2 linked regions of the Pelodiscus sinensis genome follow. The protein of the gene in region 1 purifies or fractionates together with the protein of each later gene. This does not show direct contact. Links are inferred from orthologs where the notes say so. Each region holds a gene or a part of one and is shown on either strand. Other genes may lie near its edges. The genes, in order: ZCRB1 and LARP7.

Region 1 (11,914 bases):
CTAACCAACCTGGCACTATGCCTTCCAAATAGATGGACATAAGTCTGGCTATCCAGACTAAGTACTGTATTCAAAGGAAATGTTAAAAGCTCTCCTGACACTGCATTATGGATCTCTGCCATATGGGGAGTAGGAGGAAGAGAATGCAAAGCTTGTTTCATACATACGGGGCAATTAGTTTGACTAAGAGAAACTCAGAAGCTAAATTCTACTAAAACTTGTGACTCTCCCCGGTAGGTCTTATTTTAATGAACAGAACAATGGTCTGCAGCCTGACAAGATTGTCAAATAGCTGTCATCCAATCTTGGTTATGCAACAATCTCTCTATGTTTTTTTTTCTTCTCTTAGTATACTAATTATTCTTAGGTAATTGTTATGGTTTTCACACTAAAGACAGCAAAAGTCCCTGCCCAACCCCATTTATCACTTAACTACTTAAACACGGTGTTTAACTGCTTAACTAAACAAACGGGATTTTATATCCCTAACATTCATGTAATAGGGGATCTGCTTCTAGGCCACCTCCATCCTTGGTTGGTAGAATTTGATCCCAGTTACAAGTCACTTGGGAAATGGTGTTCACTGGAACCTCTTTGTGACAGTCTCATGACACATTCAAAAGGATAAGACACTGTTTGCAGACAATGGTAACATGTAGATTTCCATAGCACGACTCAGTCAACTGAATGTTACCTTAAGACTGACATACATCACATGCAGGAGCTACTTGAACTCACAATGTATCTCTAACAATGAGCAGAGGGACAAAATGATGTTAAATGTGGAAGGGTTTCTCATAAAGCCTGACAGTTGGAGGTGACACATCCAATGCAGCAGGGGCTTCAAATGGTCAACAGAACATGCACAAATACCTTCTCTGGAATGGACAAGATGTTTGGCAGGGCCCATCACATCACTGGCAGGGTGCTGGTTGGTCCAACCCTCCATGGGGGATGGCTGCTGTGGCCCAGCTGCAGTTTGGACAGGACCAGTTAACCAGTTACCAGATAAGCATGCCAGTAAGGCTAAAGCATACTGGGTAACTGGTTAGCCTTTTAAATCCCTAGTTGGAGCTATGCCATCAGCAATGAAGGCTAGACTGAAATATCACCTTGGGCCTTATATAAGGTGGACAGATCCAATCAGAACCCTGAAAATGATGACTAATATAGGCATCAAAGATGCAAGTCAACAGCTGTGCTTACCTATCCTAGATGAAAGAAGCCGCTGAAAAAGACTCAATGGCTCAGGTCACATGGTGTAAAGCCAGCATTGGTAAACCCAGAAAAGGTTTGCTTATTGTGTCTGTCTCTCAAGCCAATGGGATGAGGTAGTCTTTGGGACAATCATTCACTCTTGCTTTTGATCAACATAAATAATCTAGTGATCAGCACCAGGATTAAGTCCCCCGGCTCTACTATCAGCTGCAGACACCCTCCTGGTGCCGCCTTTCCCCAGTGCACTTAAGATCTTGCACCAAAGTATTCCCAGGGACGCACATCCTCTGATGTCAGCAGGCATGTCTGCAGTATACCGAGACAACATATTTAATGCAGGGTTGTATTAGAGTAACTGTTTACATTGTTAACTGATAAGCCAGGGCTTACTGGTTACTGTGAATGGTTACATGTAGGCTCCCTCCCCGCTCCCAGAGAGCCTGTATATGTGGGAGCCGGCTTAAAAGACTCCACAGTGCTGCCTCTAATACAACCCTTACAAGCTGCAACCCAGAGTTTGAAAACCCCTGATCTAAGGTACTTATATGCCCCTACCCCCTTACCACAGTATCTAAGCAAGTTGTAATCTTTAAATGTATTTATCCTCATAGCACCTATCTGAGGTAGGAAAATGCTCCATTTTAAAGATGAGGAATTCAGGTACAAAAAGCTTTTAGGTGTTGCAATGCCTAACTAGGGAGCTGCCCAGAAAATCTTGGGCACAAGACTGGGATGTACAAAGCTTCAGTCAGGCATCCTGTACCCTGTCCCTCTCACTGTCAGGTACTGAAATCCAAGTGTAAGGAGATAACTATTTCTGCTTGCAATTTGCAGCCAGGAACCTATCTCCTGGAGTCAGGCATCTTAGATGCCTATCTTGCTTTTAATGTGAATGAGTTAGATACCTGTCTCACAAAAATGACAGTGGAGGTGTCCACCCTAAGTTCTTAGCCCTATAGACAGAACACTCATTGGGGATCTGGGTATAATTCCTCCCTCTATTTGAGGGGCAGAAAGGATGTGAATGGGAGTCTCTAAAGCTTTGTTAATATTATACTTTTTAAAACATTTCTAAACTGGTCCTTGGTCAGGGCAGCCCATGACAACTTTTACAGGGAGCAGGGTCATGGTTTTTTTCACTTCTCTCTGCAACAAATAAATTATATGAACGTGAAAGGGTTAAAAGCACCTCATTTTGTTAGAAGAGTCATATCTTGGCTAAATTACTTTAAATTTGCATTACAAACTATCACCAAATTCCGGTTATAAAACTCTGCATACAAGTTTTAGAGATTTTGAAATAGATTGCTACTTATTAGGAGAGCTGGATCTGAAGAAACCCTTGACCAAATGATCCCTACTTGCATCCCCAATTCTATTGCTGGCCATGTCTGCATGTGAATTTTAGAGCACTTTTCATTATCAGTATTTAAAACAAAAAGCTTTGCTCTCAAGCCCAAACTTCTCAAGAGAGCCTTTTACAGAGGCCCAGCCCCTAACCACAACACAAGTAGACAGTAACCTCAAATTTTCTAGGGAGAGGATGTTGTTTGGGATCAATTGATACAGCGTGTTACCTGAACTTGAGAATAACTGATATAAGGTTGGACTCACTTAATCAAGTATGCAACATTACATACATAAAACATTTTTTTAGAGTCACATAGTCTTGTTTCTAATGCAAAATACACCTGAAATAAAGATTGTGTTATGGTTTGAAGCTGTGCTCGTATCTGCTGGTAGGGGTCATCAACACAGATGCAGATACTCTAATCTTTCCTTTTTCCACATTGTGCCCAGTCTACCACTTGTTCATTTGCGTGCATCCATCCATCATGCTGGTTTTACAGCCAGTCATCTTCCTCTTCCACTAAGGAGCCTTTTTCAGAATGGTACATATAAAACATCATAGTTGCCCATGGGATCAACTTTTCAGTGGAGGCTATAGCATAGATGGGTCTCAAGTTACCACATTTAATCACACTTTGGGAAGGGCTAAATATCAGCTTCCATCAACAGAGGAAATGAATTATGAGTTCAACATTTCCCTACTGCAAATACACCAATCTTGAAATTGGGGGTTTCTTTCTGTGTCTGAGCTATAAGCCAAACACCCTCTAGTCTTTACAACTGCCCCAGAAACTCACATACTGAATCAGTTCCTGCTTTAACCAATAATGTTGTAATTTCTGCCTTTCTATGAGCTGACTCAAGTGGTGGTCCTGACTCAAGACTACCTAATACTTAAAAGTTTACCAACCTGACTATTTCAATAAGGAAATCCTCGCCTCTAACCAAAGTAAAGTAGCTATTCCAGTAAAAGCCCTATCACAGACACAAGTTAGACTAGCAGAGAATTTCAGAAGGGTAGCCATGTTAGTCTGTAACTTTAAAAAACGAATAGTCCTGTGGCATCTTAGAGGATACCATTATATGTTTATATAATGTATGAATGAGAAAGAGAATCATGAGCAAAACCAACTTCCTTTGTTCATCTGACGAAGTGGGCTGTGCCTACTGAAGCGCATGATACTATCTATCTTTATTTGTTGCTCTCCAAGCCCTGGTCTATGCTATTTCTAAATAACAAGCAGAGCATCCACACTATTAAGCCCATTATTTCAAAATAAGGGACTGGCTATTTTGAAATGATGACGCCCGCTTTCCACCAGGAATAATGCTTATTTCAAAATAGTCATTTTGAAATAGCAGTAGCAGGGACACTCCATTGTCTGTAACCACACCACTTTAGAAACTAGCAAAAAACAGAGATAGTATCATGAGTTTTTGTGAGCACAACCCACTTCGTTCATCTGAAGAAGTGGGCTGTGCCCACGAAAGCTCATGATACCATCTGCATGTTCCGTTAGCCTCTAAGTCTAAGGTGATGCCGAGACACTCGTTCAAGTTTGTGCATTTTTAAAATAGTACAGTTATGCTGGACTAGCCTATGTCCCTTCCCAGCTACATCGCTCTCCTGATGCAACGGGGCTGCGGCGTGAGGGGCAGGACGCCGGGCAGCGCTGCGATGCTGGCTCGCTTGGCAGTCACTGGCAATAGGAGCGTTGGGACCTCGGGGACGGGGCGAGGGGAAGAGCCGCTCACGCCCTTAGGAGAACACGAGCCAGAAGCAGCCCCGCCCCCATCTCCGGCAGCCGGACCCTCCCCGGCGCGACCCCCCCCCGCGGGACGAGGCGAACCACGGCCGCCATAGACACGGGGCGGGATTCGGGCGGAGCCCGCACCCACCTCGCGGGAAGCGGTTCAGGCGGGGCGGGAGGACATTTCTCCTAGGCGCTGCCTCCTTTCGCCGGGCGCGCCGAGAGCGAGCCCATGGCCCCACCTGCCGCGGCGCCCTTCCGGCGACGTGAGAAATAGACACCTCCTGGCCCCAGTCACGGGCGGCAGTGCCAGCAGGCAGGCGGGTATTTCCGTTTTCGTCACGAAAGGCGCCGGAAGTGGCCCGGGGCCGCGGATCAGGTCCCCCCGTTGCTGGCAGGGGAGCGGCACCAGGCGCCGGCGCGCGCGAGGGACCTTGGCGCAGGTAGTTTCCGGTTACTCTGGCCCTGCGCCCCAATCTCGTGCTCTGGGCGAACGGCAGCCGCGTGAGCCCCCGCTGCTACCGCGCGCCGCCCCGGCTTCCCGTGACCTCCGTGAGCCTGCGCTGTGCCTGTGGGGCAGGGAGCGCACGTGTTCCGAGCGCCTCCCGCCGTGGCTTGTGTCCGTGCGGCCCGGGGCTGCAGCGCGCCCCTCTCCTCGTACCGCGGATAACGTGGCGGCGGCTGTTGATGGTCACTTTGGACAGAGCTGGGACTGGGTCCGAGACTCCTCCTCCGTTAGACCCCCTCGTAGCCGTTCTGCCTCTACCCACGCGCTGTGCCGGGCAAGCCTCTCTGTAAGCGCTGCTCTAGTCACTGGCCCGGCTTGGCCCCAGAACTGGAAAGAGGAGCAGGCACCGTATTCCCAGCGCTGCCCTGCCAGTTGTTTGCCCACCCGTTTGGTAGCCCCTTTGCAAACGGTTTGCTGGCTCATGTGGTAGGCCTAGTTGCTTGAAGTAGGGGTTCAGGATGCCTGACATTATGCCCTGGTTTCTAGTGATTTCTGTCATATACAGGATTTCTAGTTTATTGTCACGTGGCTTCCAAAGATCAGAAAATTATGGATCAAAGTGGTGGCATTTCTCCTTTATGTAATACTCCAGCTATGTCTTGTTTTAAACTGGATTTTTATTATTTCTAAAATCTGTCAAAATGTCAGATTACCCCTAAGGTAGTTTCTTGCAGAATCAGGAATAGATCTTGCTATAGCAGAGTCAATGAAGACAAACTAGTGAATCTGGTTAAGGTAGCAGAGTGGAGCCCAGAACATTGGCTTCTAGTTCTGACCTAGCACGGCCATTCTATATACAAATCACTTAAACTACATTTTTTTGAGGTGGACGCAAATTTTGTGCCTGATTGTTTTGTGCCATGGACCCCATAAAGAAGTATTCACTTATTTATCTTAAGAAGATATTGTATAGATAACTTGAGTAATTGTAAAATGCAAAAGAACTGGAACTTTATAGAGAGAGAAATGTGAACAGGAACTGGACTTTTGCCAGTTTGAGGAGAAACTGCTCTAAATTTTGGCTATCAAGACCTTGGAGTGACAATGTGAGATTTGGAACTGTTGAGTACAGGTGTGTTTCTAATGTCTGTGTAGACTAGAGAAATGTCTACTTGTGAAACTCTTTGGGAGCTACACTTGAGTCATGGGATACAACTAGCTCTTCAAGAGCGGGCAATAAGCCACCCATGGGCCGGACGCAGTTCACCAGGGTTAACTTCTGGCTGTCAGGCACTTCGTTTGCCTGAGCGTCTGCAGGCACAGCCGCTCATAGCTCCCATTGGCTGCAGGAAGTGGTGGCCCGGCACACAGTGCTTCATGCAACGTCCACTGGCTGTGAACAGCGAACCAAGGCCAATGGGAGCTGCAAGTGGCTGTGCCTGCAGATGCTCAGGGAAATAAAACAAGGTGGTCTGCCGACAGCATACCCTATCAAATCGTGTCTGACCCACAAGCTGCCTTTGCTCACCCCTGTTCAAGAGAATTCTAATTCTAGTTCATTACAAGCAGTCCCTGACTTACGCGGATCCGACTTATGTCGGATCCGCACTTACGAACGGGGCTTTCTCGCCCCGGAAGTCGGGGAGAGAAAGCCCCATTGGTAAGCTGCTCCGGTGCCCCTGGTCTGCTGGAGACCGTCTCCAGCAGACCAGGGACACCGGGCGGGTTCCCGCGCTTCTGAGGCTTTGCCAGAGCAAAGCCTCAGAGGCGCGGGGAACCGCCGCTGCTGCCGCTTCAATCTGGGTGCCTGTGGTCTGCTGGGGACCGTCCCCAGCAGACCACAGGCTCCCGGACTGAAGCCGCAGCCGCGGGGGGGTCCCGCATCTCTGAGGCTTTGCCAGAGCAAAGGGGGGCGGTCCCCAGCAGACCACAGGCTCCCGGACTGAAGCCGCGGCGGGGTCCCTCGCCTCTGAGGCTTTGCCAGAGCAAAGCCTCAGAGGCTCTGCTCCCCGTGTCCCTGGTCTGCTGGGGAGGGGGGGGGGCAGCTAGTGTGCTCCCCCTCCCCCCAGCAGACCAGGCTTTTGTTTTGGACTCTGGGGCAGAGCAGCTGGGGCGCTGCCGATTGGTCCTGCAGCGCCCGCTCTGGGCACTACTGGACCAACCCGGCAGCACCCCAGCTGCTCTGCCCCAGGTCCTGATTCAGCCGCTGCTGGTCAGTTTCAGCAGCGGCTGAATCAGGACTCCTGGGGCAGAGCAGATGGGGTGCAGCTAGGTTGGTCCAGTAGCACCCAGGAGCGGTGCTACTGGAGCAACCCAGCAGCACCCCAGCTGCTCTGCCCCAGGTGTCCCCAAGTCAGCTTCTGCTGAAACTGACCAGCGCTGACTACAGGAAGCCCCAGGCAGAGTTGCTCTGCCCCGGGCTTCCTGGAATCAGCTGCTGATCAGTTTCAGCAGCAGCTGACTTGGGGACGCCTGGGGTTCTTAAGTTGATTCTGTATGTAAGTCAGAACTGGCGGTCAGTTTCAGCAGTGTCTGAATCTGGACGCCAGTTCCGACTTACATACAGATTCAACTTAAGAACAAACCTACAGTCCCTATCTTGTACGTAACCCGGGGACTGCCTGTATTATATCTTACTCTAACAAAGGTTGCTCCTGCATGCCCATGAGCATCATTTTTTGGAGGTGGGGTGACAGGAGAATAGAGAACATAAGAACAGCCATACTGAAACCAAAGGTCCATCTAGCCCGGGGTGGGCAAAAGGGCTTCCATGGGCCGAATCCAGCCCGCCGAGGCCCTGCTGCTCCCCTGCCCCCAGGCCAGTTAGGGGCAGTGGAGTACCCGAAGCCTTCTCTGCTCTACTCCAGCCCTGCGAGTAGTGCATGGCGCTTCAAATGCTGGGGCAGTGCGGAGAAAGCTTCGTACGCTCCCCGCCCGCAGGCCTTAATTGTCCTGGGGGTGGGGAAGCACATGAAGCCTTCTCCCTCCTTGTAAGAAGCACGTGGCACTTTGAAGCGCTGCTCGCAGGGTGGTGGTGGTCGTGGGGAGAGAGCGGAGGAGGCTTTGCAGGCTCTCCAGGCCAATCGGGCTGGGGGCAGGGGAGCTGCATGAAGCTTCTTTCTCCCTGCCCCAGCACTGCGAGGAGCCTGCAGCACTTCAAAGCGCCACGTGCTCCTCGCAGGGCAGGAGGAGGCTTCCCACGCTCCCCCACCCCCGCTCCCCCAGTGTGCCAAACTTCTTCCAGGGCATGGGTGCCTAGTGGGAAGGGGGGGCAAAGGGGCTCCCCCATCTCCAGACCAAACCTCCCCCCCGACCTAGCCCAGTATGCTGTATTCAGACAGTGGCCAATGCTAGGTGGACCCAGAGGAAATGAACGGAACAGGGAATCGTTAAGTGATCCCACCCCTGTTGCCCACAAGAGGGGAGTCGTAGGCCCACAAGTCTATTTTGACTTGGGAGCATGTTTGGGGTGTGAGATAAACTTTCAAGACTATGAAGTGAGGAGAATTCAATATACCTCATCATTCCCTACTATGGTGGAGGGGTGGGGGGGCGTGAGTTGACCATGTTATGAACCCACATACTAGAGTGAGTACTTAACACAAAAAAATGGCACTTGACACCACAGGTGTTTCTTAAACTGCAGGCACTCAAATTCTTGAGCTGGCATTTTATGCATAGTTATATTATCACTGTACTCAGAAGAGGGTAAGTAGGATGTTTTGGGACTGTTCAAGTCAGTGATCAGTATTATGTTTGGTATAATGTTGTTTGTCAGTAGTGATTGAGGGTTAGATTTTAAAAGTTGTTCAGGTGCCTAAATATGGAGTGAGTCAAGTGCCTATCCTGCTTAGGTACTTTTGCCTTATTTGCCTTCCTGCAGTTTTAGGCATCTAATGTCTTTATAAATTAGGTTCTCAACTCTTGTATTTTATGCAGTGGTGACTCTTTCTAGCCTTTATGCGTGCAGGCTCTTTTTGCCATTGACTGTTTCTAGCGTGCTGGTGTTAAAAGTGACCCCCTCAGCAAGATGCACGAACAGCATCCTAGTAGAAAACTTATCAATGTCTGTCTTCTCAGAAGCCCGGGTGGCAAATGTCCCTCTGGTTGGTAGGTGTTTGGAAATATTTTATGCTCTGGGTTAGGGATGTTGCATTCCACCCACCCTTTCCCCCTGCAATGGATCCGGGATGAGGCAGCTGCTTTGGGGGATAGCTCTGCTGCGGCTCCGTTATCTGGCCCTGCTCCTCCATGAGCCCCGCTCATGCCTGGCAGGCAGGGAAGGGGCTGGGGCTGCCCGACGCTGGGACAGGAGCCGAGTACCGAAGCCCAGGCAGGCAAAGCTCAGTGCTCCTAGGCTGGACTCGGGGAAATGCAGGCCCCCTTCACTGGCTGGGCTGGCAGCACTCAGTGGGTGGGTCTCCCGTGGTGAGTCAGGCCAATGCCACTGGCTGGGGCAGGTGGGAGCAGCGCCTCAGTCCGGGATGGTTACTTGGGGAGCCTGGCTGGGCACCGTGGACACCTGGGAGGAGGCTCCTGCAGCCGTGCTGATGTAGCTGGGCTTGCTGCTTAGCTGGAGTGACCTCAGGCTGGGTGCTGAGCGTTGTGCACCTGTCGCAGCAGCCCACTGGGCTCAGGGGCAGGGACCAGAGCTCTCCCATTGCTGGGGCTTCATCCCAGGCGAGTCAGTGCTGTGTGGCTTGGCCCAGACATGTCGCAGCCCAAAGGGGCAAAGCAGGGTGAGTGGCCGAGCGGGGCTCTCATGAGTGCGGGTAGAGCTCGGATTGTGGCTCGGCCCCCACTGTACATCTGCCCTGGCCTTTCTCCATACCTGTCATGATTTTATAGACTTTTCTCATAACCCCCCTTAGTCTCCTCTTTTCTAAGCTGAAAAGTTCCAGTCTTTTTAATCTCTCTTCGTATGGCACCCTTTCCAAACCCCCAGTCATTTTTGTTGCCCTTTTCTGAAACTTTTCTGATGCCAATATATCTTTTTTGAGATGAGGCGACCACATCTGTACGCAGTATTAAAGATGTGGGCGTACCGTGGATTTATACAGAGGCAATAAGATATTCACTATCCCTTTTTAAATGATTCCTATCATTCTGTTGACTACCGCTGCACACTTAGTGTATGTTTTCAGAGAACTAACCACAGTGACTCCAAGATCTCTCTTCAGGGGCTATAGCTAAATTAGTCCCCATCATTTAGTATGTATAGTTGGGGTTATTTTTTCAAATGTGCATTATTTTGCATTTATTAGCATTAAAATTCTCTTGCCATGTTGCCCAATCACTGAGTTTTGTGAGATCCTTTTGAAGTTCTTCACAGTCTGCTTTGTTCTTAACTATCTTGAGCAGTTTAGTATCATCTCCACATTCCTTTTCTGTGGTTACATGGTTAATCACTTGCATGCATTTTAACATCCCTAATCTTAACTCTGCCATGCTTGGCCCAGATTCACCATCACATAAGCACAGAACAAAAATAATCCTATCCAGGCCTGTTTTTGTCTTTGTATATATTTCTTAGCTGACTAACAAATTGAAAGGCCAGAATGTTCAAGGAGCAGAAGATGGTTGTTAGGATGTACAGATTACAGCCATGGATTTATTTTTTGTGAGACTGTAAGAGTAGGAATAGCATGTTGGTGGTAAGATTTAATTTTAACTTTTTTTTAATGAAAAATTTAGAATCCTATTTTTTTTAAATCCAGTTATTAAAAAAAAAAAGACTTTTATCCAGCCTGGTCTCCATGAAATAAGTGAAGTATCATGATTTATTTTTCCTTCTTTGTTATACTACTTGTAGCTCTCAAGACAGAGGAGAGGGCTGCCTTTTTTCCAGTATAAACATCAGGAACTGAAAAATATACCCAGTGCTTGATAGCCAGGTGAAAAATAAATGAGCTGCCATATATCTAACCCAGTCACCCAACATCATATCTTTCAGATGAAGAAATAAAGTTTTGTATTGTTTGTTGTATCTTAATGCCGACAGTCAGTTTTCTATTACCACATCTTTAAAAATGTTTTTTCTCCCTTTTTCTGTCTTTTTATTTTTGTACCTCCACTCCCTGTTTTCCCTCCTGTCCTATTTAAGATTAAGATTCCATGATTTTTTAACAGATGTCTCCACCTTTGGCTCATGCTTCAGCCCCACCTGGCCAGCCAAAGCCTGACTGCCTTAACTTAGCTTTGTAGAGCCTCTATGGCATAGAGCACTGGGCAGTTGCCCTAATGCTGCTCTGTGTGAATTTCTGTGATTTATTGACTTATTTCCTATGTCCTATTTAATAAAAATATCTGTGCCAAAATCATATCCTTAATCACAATGTATCTTTCCCTGAATTATTTTCATTGTTTCCTCTTTCTTCAACTCCCTTCTCTCTTTCCCTAAGTTCTTTTGCAATGGTGGATGTAGTAATTTCCCTTCTCGTTCCTTCTACTTCTTCCTAAATCTCTTTTTCAATACAATTTATCCAGTCTCTGTTTCTCTTAACCATCTCCTTCTGATCATATAGTATTCATATTTTAAAAATATTGCCAAATGCACTTAAGAGATGGAGGACTGAACCTACCAGCTAAAGAAAAGTACAAAAAGAGGGGAGGGCGACAATGTCAAGAGGCAACTCTTTGATGATGAGATAATTCTCCAACTTGTGCCATAGAGGGAGAATTCTAGGATTCCTCTTGAGATGTTGTCCTTCAACAAGAAACCTATAGCAAAAAGTTCTAACTATTGCAAAAGTTAATGATGACTGCTAATCATGTATGTCAGCCCCTCCATCCAATTCATGTCTCTAAGAGGAGGAAACAGCTGGTCTAAAATGTAATGGTGCTGTTTTTTAATGTTTGGCAAAGAAAAACAAGTCCTACAAAAATCACATTGTCAAGCAAAAATGTAAAACTTTGATGTGAGCTACATAATCCTACTCTATTTTGTGAGGAAGGAAACCATTTTTCTTAGGTCTGATGCACTAGCACAAAGCAGGACCTATTGCTGCGATAATCTCCTTGCTCTGATTCTTGGCAGTAAGCCACAAAGGGGCAGCTTGTGTTATATTAATAGAATAAGTCTCCCACATATGGTGAAACGCCATTAGTGGAGAGAGTACTTCAGTAAAATCAATCACCACTGACCCAG
Region 2 (11,956 bases), on another chromosome or scaffold:
CAGAAATTATACCAGGAAACAATGTGGAGATCCAAAATTTTTCAGTTGACATCTTCTGAGTACAGTACTATGAACTTTCAATACATTCTTAATGTTGTGTCAAAGATTAAAAAGACCACCAAAATTTGGGCTCACTAATGAATACTGTTTTTGTAAGTATACATTATAACCTGGATGTGCTGTATAAAAAAAAATAATGTTTTCCTTTTTTCGCAGTTATTTAGGACCTGATCTTGTGAGGCACTGGGCATCCTCAAATCCCATTGATGGCTCTTGGCAACTAATAAAATCAAACTCTTAGAAAACAGGATGTAACTTGAGGAAAGATGACAAGTTACACAGGTATAGAATTCATTTTGACCCAAGTCACTCTTCAATCTCTACCTCCTTAAGAATGATCAATCTTTCAGAGTATTATATATGTATGAAATAAAAACAACTGCAACTTGGCATGAGTGAAAGCTGTCTAAAAATGAAGTTGCCACAATGGCTGATGTATTTTACACATGATAGCAACATAAAGGTCTTTCCATTTCTTGGTCAATGGTTAGTATTACAATACAATGTTCCAGGAAGTGGTGTTTGCAGGGAGAAACAGAGAGGAAGCCAAAGATCGCATAAAAATGGAAATGGTTTTCAGATTATTGTGTAAATCAGGCTTCTTTAAGCAAGATTCCAGTTTATCTCCCTGCTGTGAGCTGACCATTCAAGATGCTTAAGGTCAACAAGCTGTCAATTAGCTTGAAAGAATAAGTAAGGTCATGCTCCTGTCATTGAGCTAAAAGTTCAACATGAGTTCAAATCACACAGCAAGACAAACGTCAGCAATGCAATATAATATTTGGTCGGACGCTACAGGAAAAATTGTACTACTATTTAGTGGCACTTTTTTTCAGAGAGAGGATGTCTCTGATGACTGTCCAGTTAAAAGTTAAAGAAAGCAAGCCAATTTTCCAAATAAAATATTCAGGAATTACAGATTTTTTTTGGAGAGGGGATCTTGTCTGGAATACAACACCTAATATCCAAGTCTCTGAGAACTTCTGCTCACCACATGGAAGCTGTGCTTGTCTTGTCTACACCATCACTTAACTCTCAGTATCCAACTAATCTGTAAAGAATTTAGGAAGCTTTCAGTACAGGTTGGACCTCTCTTGTCCAGCAACATCCATGATCCGGCATGATTTTAGTGACCCAAATGTCATCTTATTGTAGGTGTGTCTAAGTTTCCCACTGTCCTGTAAAGTTGACAGATGACAGTCCTGGCTCTCAATGTTCTGTGCTGTTATTTAACTCTAGTTTACCCCTTAAATGACTTCTTGGATCCCAGCAAGCAGCGGAAATGCTGGTAATGTCGTTAAGCAAAAACATGTTTTTATGCTTTATTTACTCATTTCCTTCTGCCAATACAGTAAAACTGTGTAACAACACTAACACTTTTTTCTGAAGAGAGCTGATAAGCCTTGGCTAGACTCAAACTTATTTTGGGTGTATCTGTACAGTTACACATTGGTAAGAACATACTAAGCATTGTTCTGTTTATTTCCCTTGGCAATCAATAAAATAAAAAACAAATAAACAAACAGACAGACAAATAAATAAAAAAGACCAAATCGCTACAATATTGGTTTCCTGTAGTTTAGCATCCATCAGATCCTGAGGATGCTGGACTAAAGAAGTTCAACTTGTATCAAGGACACTACAGAAATCGACATTTTACTTTACAAATGCTATATTGTGCTGAGCACTAATTAGATCCCACATTGTGGTGGCTTTGTCAGAAGACCAGAGCAAGGCTAGCTTCAAGATACAGTGCCTCAGGACTCAGAGTCCAAATAAGATAACCAAGGAAAGAAAGAGGATGAGAAATGAAGATGAGCTCTAATACCTGGCCAAGATACTTTTCCTCAACATGCCTGCTCAGCTGCACTGGTTGATGCCAGCTCAGCAGCACATATTAAGCTGTATTGGCGGATGAACACACGGGGAAGCAGGGAAGAGCCACAGCTCTGGTAAGAAGAAAAGTGATCCCACAAAGCAAGCAAGGGCAGTTAATAGGCAGACCATGGGCCAAATCCAGACCATCAGGTGCTTTTGAATGGACCCAGACATTTTTTCATTTACATACTATTGCATAAACATTTATCATTTCTGGCACTCCACATGTAAAATTCACAAACTAAAAAATTTATTTTGGAAGAAGAAACTCATTCCCTTTGAGTCATTCACTACTTAGGTTTACAGTGACTCGATGTTGACACCAAATAAACAATTGACGTTCATAAAAATATTTTCATTAGGTGAATCAGACTTGGATTTGTACTTTAAAAACAAAGAATTGTACAAAAACGTCACTTAGGTTTCAACCACAATAATGTCATAGAAAATGCCCAAAAGATCATAAAAGTTTGCACTCCTAATATTGTCTTATAAATGGGGCACTCACCAAAATACACACATTTTTTCCATTTTCTTGCTCAAAGTAGCTATAGCGATATCCTGTTCTAGCGTCATCAGAACTACTTGTTTTTTACATAACTACATTAAAACCAGCATCAATGCATCTACTGCGTGGAGCATTTTCTAATTCTAGCTCAATTCCAACTAGCATGAACATCAGCTGCCCCAGTAATTTAAATACAAGACTGAAATGGAGCAGTGTGTTATGTACAAAGAAGCAAAGCACAGAAATGAACAATAATGAAAACTTATGAATTAGGGATGTAAGCAAGCAGTCGAGTAGCTGATTACCTGGTAAACCTCAGCTTATCGGATAGTCGAGTTGACTACCCAAATCCCCTCCCCCCCTTTGGGAGAGCTGGAGCCGAAACTGGGGGGAGCCAGATCTCCTCGCCTGCCCCCACTTCCTGCACTGCTGCCTCTAACAGAAGCAGCAATGTGGGAGGAGGGGGATGCTTGAAGCAGCCTCTGCCCACGGCAGGCCAGGCTTGCCACGGGCAAAGGCTGCTCCGCATCCTGTGGATCAGCCCCTGTTCACAGCAGCCTGGGCTGGCCATTAACAAAGGCTGCTCTGGCAGCAGCCGGGACTGAGCAAGCTTGGCTCAGTCCTGGCTTTTGTCAGGTCCAGGAGCTCCCTGTTTTCCCCGTGCGACTGTGCAGTTTAAATGTCTTGCTATATTGAAACTGTAGAGCTTCAGGGGGGCATAACTCCCAGACCCGGCATGAACCAGGAATGAGTACCTTCCCTTCTTGACTAATCATGTAGTCGATAACATTTTTGGTTTTGCATTACAGTAGGGTTAACTTAATTGGGGACTCTGGAGTAGAATTTGGATTGCAGTCATTTAAAGTATGTGCTATATTGCATTGGAAATTTGGGCTCAGACTCAGGTTCAAGCCCACCTCTCCTCTCATCCACTCACATGTCTACCTAACATTAAACAACAAGCACTTGGGACCCAGCTCTTGGGGACCATCCAAGGGAGGGAGGAGGGAAAGAGTCTGATTCTCTCTGTGTCTAAACCCTATCATTTCGTAGCATGGCAGCAGCCGTAGCCAGACCCAATTCAGAACATCTACGTAGTGCACGCTGGACTAGTTAACCCAGCTCCAGTAACTAAAAGCCCAGCTTTACAATACAGCGTGGATGCTTCACCAAGTGCACAAGCCTGAGTCCCAAAGTCAGAGTTTCTACTGCGGTGCAGACATGGCTGGAGAAGCCAGTACCAACCCTAGCAGGACAGAAGGCAGCTTCTTCGCTACACCTGTGCGCTGATCCCAAAACTGCCCCTCCTGCCAGTGGCCTCATTCCAAATTGTTGGGAAAGGGCTCAGACGGAGGGGGATAGCAACAGTACTTTGGAGTCACTCCCTCAAGCCCTGACGGACAAAAGTGACGAATGTAAGAACATAAGAGCGGCCATACTGGCTCAGGCCAAAGGTCCATCTAGCCATGCCAGGTGCCCACAGAGGGAATGAACAGAACTGGTAATAATGAAGTGATCCCACCCCTATTGCCCACTCCCAGCTTCTGACAGAGGCTAGGCACATCATTCCTACTCATCCTGGCTAATAGCCATTGATGGCCCAATCCCCCATGAATGTCTCTAGTTCTTTTTTTGAACCCTGTTAAAATCCTGGCCTTAACAGCATCCTCTGGCAAGGAGTTCCACAGATTGGCTGTGTGCTGCATGAAGAACTACTTCCTTCTGTTTGTTTTAAAACTGCTATTAGTTTCGTTTGGGGGTGGCTAGTTCATAGGCTATGGGAACAATTACATGCCTTTATCCCGAATTCACTTTCTCCACCCGCCATGATTTTATAGAGCTCTGTCCTATCAAGCACCCAGTCTTCTTCATCTCTCTCTTCCCGTGGCCTCAGCGCTCTCGCGGCCCCTTTTCTGAACCTGTCCCAGGGACAAAAGAACTTTGGGGACGCCCCTCCCCCCCTGCAGGCGGCGCTGTTCACGGCGGGTGCCGGACTGCGCGGCTCTAGGCAAAAGCGCTCTTCAGTCTGTCCGCAGAGCCCCCCGCGGCCCCCACGCGCCGCCAATGCCCCGCCCCGCCCACGAGCCTGACGCATGCGCGAAGCCCCCGCGCAGCGCCCCCTGCCGGCGGGGCGGAGAGGGTTAACAGTGTTCCTAGTTCACCGCGCTTCCCCCCTTCCCGCGCCCGGTGCGTAGAGCCGGGCTCTCACCTGCCGCCGCCGCCGCCGCCAACTCCTACAGGGCCCCCCGCCTCTCCTGAGCTGCAGCAGCGTCACCGCCAGCGCGCGACGCTCAGCCGCAGCAAGAAAAGCCCCCGCCTGCCCTGCCGCCGGCTTACCAGATCGGCGCCCCCCCCGCGCGCGACGCACTTCCGAGCGCGGGCCGGCGGCGCGAGGGGCTATTCTCTGCCGTGGCGCCGGAAAATAGCGTCATCGGTAGCTGGCGGCGCGGGAAAGCTTCAAACCAGGGCGAGGAGCCGAGAGCTCGAGAGGTGCCGCGCGGGGGGGGGAGGGGAGAGGAGGTGACGCTGGTCCGCTCCCCGCGCTCTGCCCCCCCCCCCATCGGCGTCTGCAGAGCGAGAGGCTCGGCCATCCGCGCCAGGCGGCTTGGGAAAGAGCCGGGGGGGGGGGGGCGGAAGGAGGTTTAGCCCCCCCGGCAGGACTAGGAGAGCAGCGGCCCTGCGGGCTCCCTGCCTGCACCCACAGGAGCGGGCTGTCAGCGACGCGCAACGTCGGGCATCGCACAGCAGAGCCACAGGCCGTCCCGTGTCCCCCCCCCCCCCCCCCCGCAGCATTTTTACTCTCCCCTCCCGGTACCAGCCTCCTCCGGCCTCGCTGGTGTTTGAAATGCAGAGGTTACAAAGTATTGCGCAACCAGGCTCTCCCTAGCATGGGCTCCCAAACGGGGGGGCGAGGCGACCCAGCCCCTCCCCCCCGACAATCCCACTCCAAGTTTTGCTGCTATTTTTTGGGCGGGGGGGGGGGGGGCAGGAGTTTCTCAGAAATCAAAAAGGGGGGCGTGATGCCAAAAAGTTTGGGAACCACTGCCCTAGCAGGAACTGCCTCTGCCCCATGTCTGTACAGTGCCCAAAACGATGAGGCTCCAGCGCGCGGGGGGGGGGGGGGGGGGGCGAGCAGAAGCCCAACTCTTTTCCGTTGCAGGTTTTGGTGCTTTCTGTCACCATGCTCCCGATGTAGGATGTGTTGTAGCCAGGTCTGCTCCACTTAAAAAAAACCTCGTGTAGATAAAAGAAAATTTAAAAATTATAGAACCTTGCTTTTAGGCAGAAAAATAAGTCCTGGCGCTGGCTTCACTCCAGCTGACTTTGAAATGTTAACAACTTCAGCTACACTAGTAATCAACTTTCATGTGTAAAAACCATTGGTTTTTAACATTGGGATTTTTAAAAGCACTCACTCAGCATTGGGTGAATTCTGCTATTATTGAAGTCAGTGGTCAAATTCCCATAGACTTCCCTAAGACCAGTATTTGGACATGGAGTGTTTCTGACAATTCTCTACTAAATGGTTTGAGAGAGTAACTGTTAATCACCTTTGCCATGAGGGGAGTGATATGAGAGCAAAATTATAATGTTTTACACTCTACACAGAATATATGAGTACAGTTTATATTGGTACCAGTCCTTTCATAAGAATATAAGAATCACCATACTGGGTCAGACCAAAAGGTCCACCTAGCGCAGTATCCTGTCTGCCATCAGTGGCTAATACCAGAGGGAGGGAACACAAAAGATAATCCTCACATGATCCCTCTCCTGTCCCCCATTTCCAGACAAACAGAGGCTAAGGACACCATTCCTACCAATCCTGGCTAATAGTCATTGATGGACCTAACCTCCTAGCTCTTTTTTGAACCATGTTAAAGTCCTAGTCTTCCCATCCTCTGGCAAGGAGTTCCACAGGTTGACAGTGTGCTGAATGAAGAAAGGACCATAAAAACTCTGATACTAGATCTGAATGAAAAAACGTGATTGTGTTCCTTTCAATGTCTCTTTCTTTGCTTCTGTTACATTTTGAGGTAGTTTCTGTGAAAGACGTTATACAGTAGGGTCTTATTTTTAAGTATTACCACACTGGGGCTATGTCTACACTGGCGGCTTCTTGTGCAAGAACATCTTGCGCAAGGGTTCTTGTGCAAGAAGTCTTGCGCAAGAAAATGTCCACACTGCCATGTGCAAGCTGTGCTTTTGCGCAACAGTGCCCATAGCAGTGTGGGTGCTCTCTTGTGCAAGAAAGCTCTGATGGCCATTTTAGCCATAGGGCTTTCTTGTATAAGAAATCCCTGCTGAGCGTCCACAATACCCTCTTGTATAAGAGCTCCTGCGCAAGAAGGCTTACACCTGTTAAAAAAGAGCATAGCTCTTGTGCAAGAAGCCCTCTCTTACCACACCGTACTGTAAATTTCCTTGTGCAAGAGCGGGCAGGCAGTATGGCTGCTCTGCGGATTCTTGCGCAAGAATGGCCATACTTGCGCAAGAAGCTGCGAGTGTAGACATTGCCTTACTGATTTATTTTAGGTCATTAAGGCTTTCAGCAGCTGCCATTATATTCTTTCAGGAATTAATAAACCAATGTATCTGTAGTGGTGGCTCTATTATTCAGTCTACTTCAAAATGGTCTAGCTGTTTACTCTTCTTAGCATATGCACAATGTGCCTCAGGTGACAGAGGACCAGGATTCATCTTCATTCATTAAGTTTGGTCATGTGGTTGGATCATTAGTAAAGCTCTGCCAGTCTCCTTATATCCACAGCCCCTGTTTGTGAATAGAAGATTGGATGCAGATACTATTTTGTATCTGTGCAGGCCTCTAATCATTAACTTTCCCAGATTGCATCAGGTACTGAGGGGGAGTGCAACACAAAGGCTGATCCATGCCACCCACCCATGGACTGCTTGACAGATTCTATCATTTCCATTCTTATTGTTCCATTTTATTACTAGGAAAGAGAAAGACTATCTGAAAATTCCTATTCTGCTCTAAAGTAACCATCTTTCTGTAAACAATGCTAAATCAAGCCATTATCAGATCAAGTAAGGGGAAGTGAAGACAGCTCTTCTGGTATTGTTACAAGAATGGTCAATCTGTGAATTGCACAGTTGGAAACATGATCTTTCCATACATCTTTCTAAACAGTACCATGACTGAGAAGAATAAACGTAAAGTAAATGTTCTGAGCCACCTTGTGGCGAGTGTGTAGCATTTAAGAAGTTGAAAGACAAGACACTTTAAAACTGGAATTTTTAATGAAAAAGCTATTATAGCTTGAGAGCCACTGTCATGAGAAAAAGTGTGAATATATTTCCTCTTTTAATAAATGTATTTACAATGGAATAAAAAACCACATATGTAGAATGCTAATTGAATCTGTTTATCTGCTAGTAACGCAATCAGTGTATTATTTCTCAAATATAATTTCCTAGTTCATCCCCAAAAAGGTATCCTATGAGTTTTTTTCATCCTATCTCTACTTATTCTAAATGTTAAAAATGTACTAAGAATTCTTAAATCCCATGAACTATTGCTTAATTAATCTCTAGTCTAATATCTTCCTATAATAGCTGCTTTGTCTTCTCATATGCCTTTTCTTATGTGTGATTGCTTTTAACAATTTCTTTATCACTTGTGTTGCTGTCTATGCAGTCAGCCAGTAATTTCAAGAAGTTAGAGCAATTGCCAGTGTTAGCTGTGTTCCTGTGGTTGTGGTTTTAATTGAAGTGTCAGTAATTGATAATTATGATTAAGATCCCAATGTTAAGTGCAACTCTTTACATGCAAGTACAAGTTATGATATTTGACAGTTAATTTTCTACTGTATTTGTGTGTCATAAGGTTTGAAAATGATGAAGTGTTTATATAAAGCTTTGATTACTGTTGACTACTTTAGGCCAAGTTTTTTATGGGTGATTATTGATTTGAGGGTTTCAAAATTAGATACCCCAAAATGAAGCCTCATTAGAGACATGAAAGTTTGGTTAATTTTTTAGTAGTAGATTATATGTTCTGATAAGATTATTAGGCTAATAGTTTTCAAAGAGCCAGCTAAAATAAAAATACCTACTTATCTGAAAAATGATTTTGAGCCACAACTTCCATTAAAATGAATAGTAGTTGCAGATGTTCAGGTTTCTAAAAAAGTAGATCTCTTCTTGATATTAATATTTAAACAAAAGCTATTTCTGCTATTAATCTTTACTTTTGTTAGTTTATGTTTAGAATACAAGTCTTTAGCACTCCAATATTCCCTCACAAGCATCACTACCCTGTTTTTACCCACTCTTTAAGGGAAAGCACTGGATGTGTATCTTTTTTGTTTGACACACTTGCCTTGCAGCTGAGTTGAATTCTAAATATGCCCCCCCCCCTTTTTTTTGAGTAGTATGAAGATCTGAATATATGCATTGCAAACCTTTGGATTGCTGTGTTTCATCAAAGCAATGGCTTGTCAGGAGTTTACTGTGAGTCTTATTTTTAAGTACAATTATATATAAGATATAGTCAAATTTCACATATGCTTGGCTTGTATGACTACTAAATCATTTCAGTATATACATGTTTTTTATAATATAAGGTCTTATACACTCATCAGAAGACTAAAAAATCGAAAGTATGGCAAGATGGAGTTTTGAAAACCACTACTGGAGGAAATAAGGTGAAGAATTCAGGTTTAATTCAGTATCATGTGCATAATAGTACCACTTTTTCAGCTTCTACTTGTGTCACTGGTTCCTTCTTAACACACATTTGTTAAATTTAAAATTCTCCTATTTCAATACAGGCAACCTTATTTGATGACAGAGGACAATGTTTGGAGAGTGTATTTGTTAAATCTCAGGTATTTTATAATCATGTAAAGCTTTTATCCTTATTTGGCTAATAATTTGACGCAGCATATTTTATCTTCATGTGATCCAAAGTTCCCTATGCTTCAGTTTTGTCTAGCTTTGTCATTGCTAATATTCTGATCCTTAAATGTTTAGGTTGGAAAATAATCTGTGACAGATTGTTTGTTTGTATGTCACTATATGTAAAACAGCACATAGCAAATTTTAGTACAGTGGATAACTGACAAATAGGCTTATGGTGGATAATGAATTATGAATATATATAATTTTCACTTCATGCTGTTATGCAAACCATATGCTTAGAATGTTCTCAAATGTATTTAATTCTTTCATATAATTTCTTAAAAAAAAAAAACCCTTCATAGACTTACCTATTCTAGGAAGCATTACAATTGCAATGTACTCTGACCATTACATGTTTGATTTTGATTTGTATAGTACCTTTTTACATTGCAAGCTTATTGAGATGGAGTGCTGTTTGTTTGATATTATGGAGTTTTTGTACAGCCAAAAACTAATAGACCTATGTAAATAATTATGGTCTTAGGAGTTGCTTAAAAACTTCATTTTTAAAGCTACAGTATTTAGTAATCTGTGCAAATTTGAGTGTTTACATTAGAACCAACACAAAACAATTTGAAACTTAGAGCTAATGCTTGCTTTCATATCTAGTCTGCTCCAGTTGTCTAGGATACAGTGAATTTTGTATATTATTGTTTCATTTCTGTGTTGTAAAACAAATTATTTCAGTATCTATTTGACAACACTTAGGAGAAACTATCATTTTTTCCACTGGCTAGCATACATAATGCCATTAAACAACACTTTTGTTTCTCTGTCTTTTCTAGGTGAAACCTGGAGATGACTTAGAAAGTGACCGATATTTGATCACAATTGAAGCAGAAAAAATAACTGAAAACTGTGGTAGTGATCAGCCAAAGAAAACAGAAGCGCCTACGCTGAACAGAAATAGTTTGAAGCCCAGTGGTTTCTCTCTGCCCCATCTACCTCTTGGCTTGAAAAGGAAACATACTGTATGTTTGTGTTTCATATGTATGTTTGACTTTCATATCCAATTTAAAACACTATTGGAACGTTATAATTTGCACTAGTGTCAGGGAAAACCTATTTTAAATCCTAATTTCCCTCCTGATGGTATATGCCCTGCAATTGTATCTAACTTAGTGTATTTCCTAGTGCTTTCTAGTTATCCAATGACTAAGGCTGTATTGTGGGCATGTAAGTGAGGAGTTCAATTAGAGTGAAATCAAATGAAGTATATATAGACAAAATGTTTGGGTTTAATTCTTAGCAGCAAACTACATTAATGTAAGTATATTGTTTGCATATGTGACTTGTTAAATTCACACTGAATGTCATGATTGTAGCCAGGTTTACTTGATAGCATATTAAATTGTTTAGTTACAGGATGCTAATTTGAAGTATTAATGAGGAGCTCTGAACTTCCTGTGGATGCATTAGTACATATTTTGTTAGTAAAATAAAATAGGTGAAGTGTATTGGAAAGAAAATGTGTAATTAAAATCTGCTCTGCCTTGCATGAATAAGACTAACTTGCTTGGCATATGTAAGCAAGAGTTATTTTAACAACTACTGCTGCTATTCAGGGTACAATTCAAAAGAAGCATAATTTGGGATTGTTCAATAAATGTGTCAAATTGTTTAATGAGAGTATGGAGCATAATAAGTGCCCTGTTGCTTTTTACTGCTTAGGTTCCAAATTTCAAAGCTGATTTATGAATAATATTAACATAAAAACTTTTCTCCTAGGGCTTTCAAGGGCCACGTCAAATTGAAAAGAAAATGGTGCTGATGGAAGATGATGAAGCAGTAGTATCCCATTCATCTAAGCGGTCTCTGTTGTCCTTTCCTTCTCAGTTGTATAACACCTCTCCTTTATTTTCTACTACTTGCGAGAAGGATGCTGAAACTAATTCATCATCACTCTCTAATAATGATGCTTGCACAGGCAGCAATAGAGACCATATGTCTGTCTCCTCACTGGTTTCCACTTCTTATATTGGCATTCCCAAAGAAGTGATACACAATAGAAACCACAGCATCTCTATTTCTGGACAGATGGAATCAAATTGTCAGACAGTCAGTGGTATGTCTCTGTCTCAGAACATCAGGAGCAAAGCACAGATAATAGCACTTCTGAAATCCAAGCCAACACAACTGTGCAACGATCAAAACTCTTCCGAAATCACTGAGTGTTGTTCTGGATGTCAGTTGTCAGAAAGCAGAGGAATTTTATTGAAACAAAAGAGTGGAAATGTGTCTGCACATATGGATATCTCTGATAGAGAAAGTACCAAGAATATACAGCACCAATCAACTACAGAGAAAACAATAACTAATAGTTGGGATGTTTATATGTTGCCAAATTCAGCCAAACAGTCTTGTGATGAAGAAGTCACAGAAAGGAGACATGACAAAAAAGCAAGTAATTTAGGTTTGGATTTACAAGACCCTCAAAACCCAAAGGCTTCACATTTCATGGCAGCCTTTGTGCAGCCTGTTGAAAAAGGGCTAAAATACAATTGCGAGAAACAAACAGATCATGACAGGCAATACAGCTGGGATTGTAAAACAGCTTCTCAAGCATCTGCATCCCGTGGAAGT

What was found.
Region 2: the proteins of ZCRB1 (region 1) and LARP7 purify together in Homo sapiens (affinity purification with mass spectrometry; 3 studies listed by BioGRID and IntAct, counting the BioPlex papers as one, with this or other methods). This does not show direct contact. The link is inferred for Pelodiscus sinensis from reciprocal best matches to the Homo sapiens genes ZCRB1 and LARP7.

Annotation. Positions count from the first base shown.
Region 1 is NC_134711.1:53,437,350-53,449,263, forward strand, and holds the start of ZCRB1 (zinc finger CCHC-type and RNA-binding motif-containing protein 1), read right to left. Parts: upstream 4,618-11,914; 5' UTR 4,468-4,617; intron 1-4,467.
Region 2 is NC_134715.1:31,428,263-31,440,218, reverse strand, and holds the start of LARP7 (la-related protein 7), read right to left. Parts: upstream 4,920-11,956; 5' UTR 4,784-4,919; exon of another isoform or gene 4,656-4,783; intron 1-4,655. Other genes in the region: 5'-3' DNA helicase ZGRF1, read left to right, coding at 8,903-8,923, 9,037-9,117, 9,244-9,300, 10,159-10,344, 11,102-11,956. UniProt on the Homo sapiens protein: RNA-binding protein that specifically binds distinct small nuclear RNA (snRNAs) and regulates their processing and function.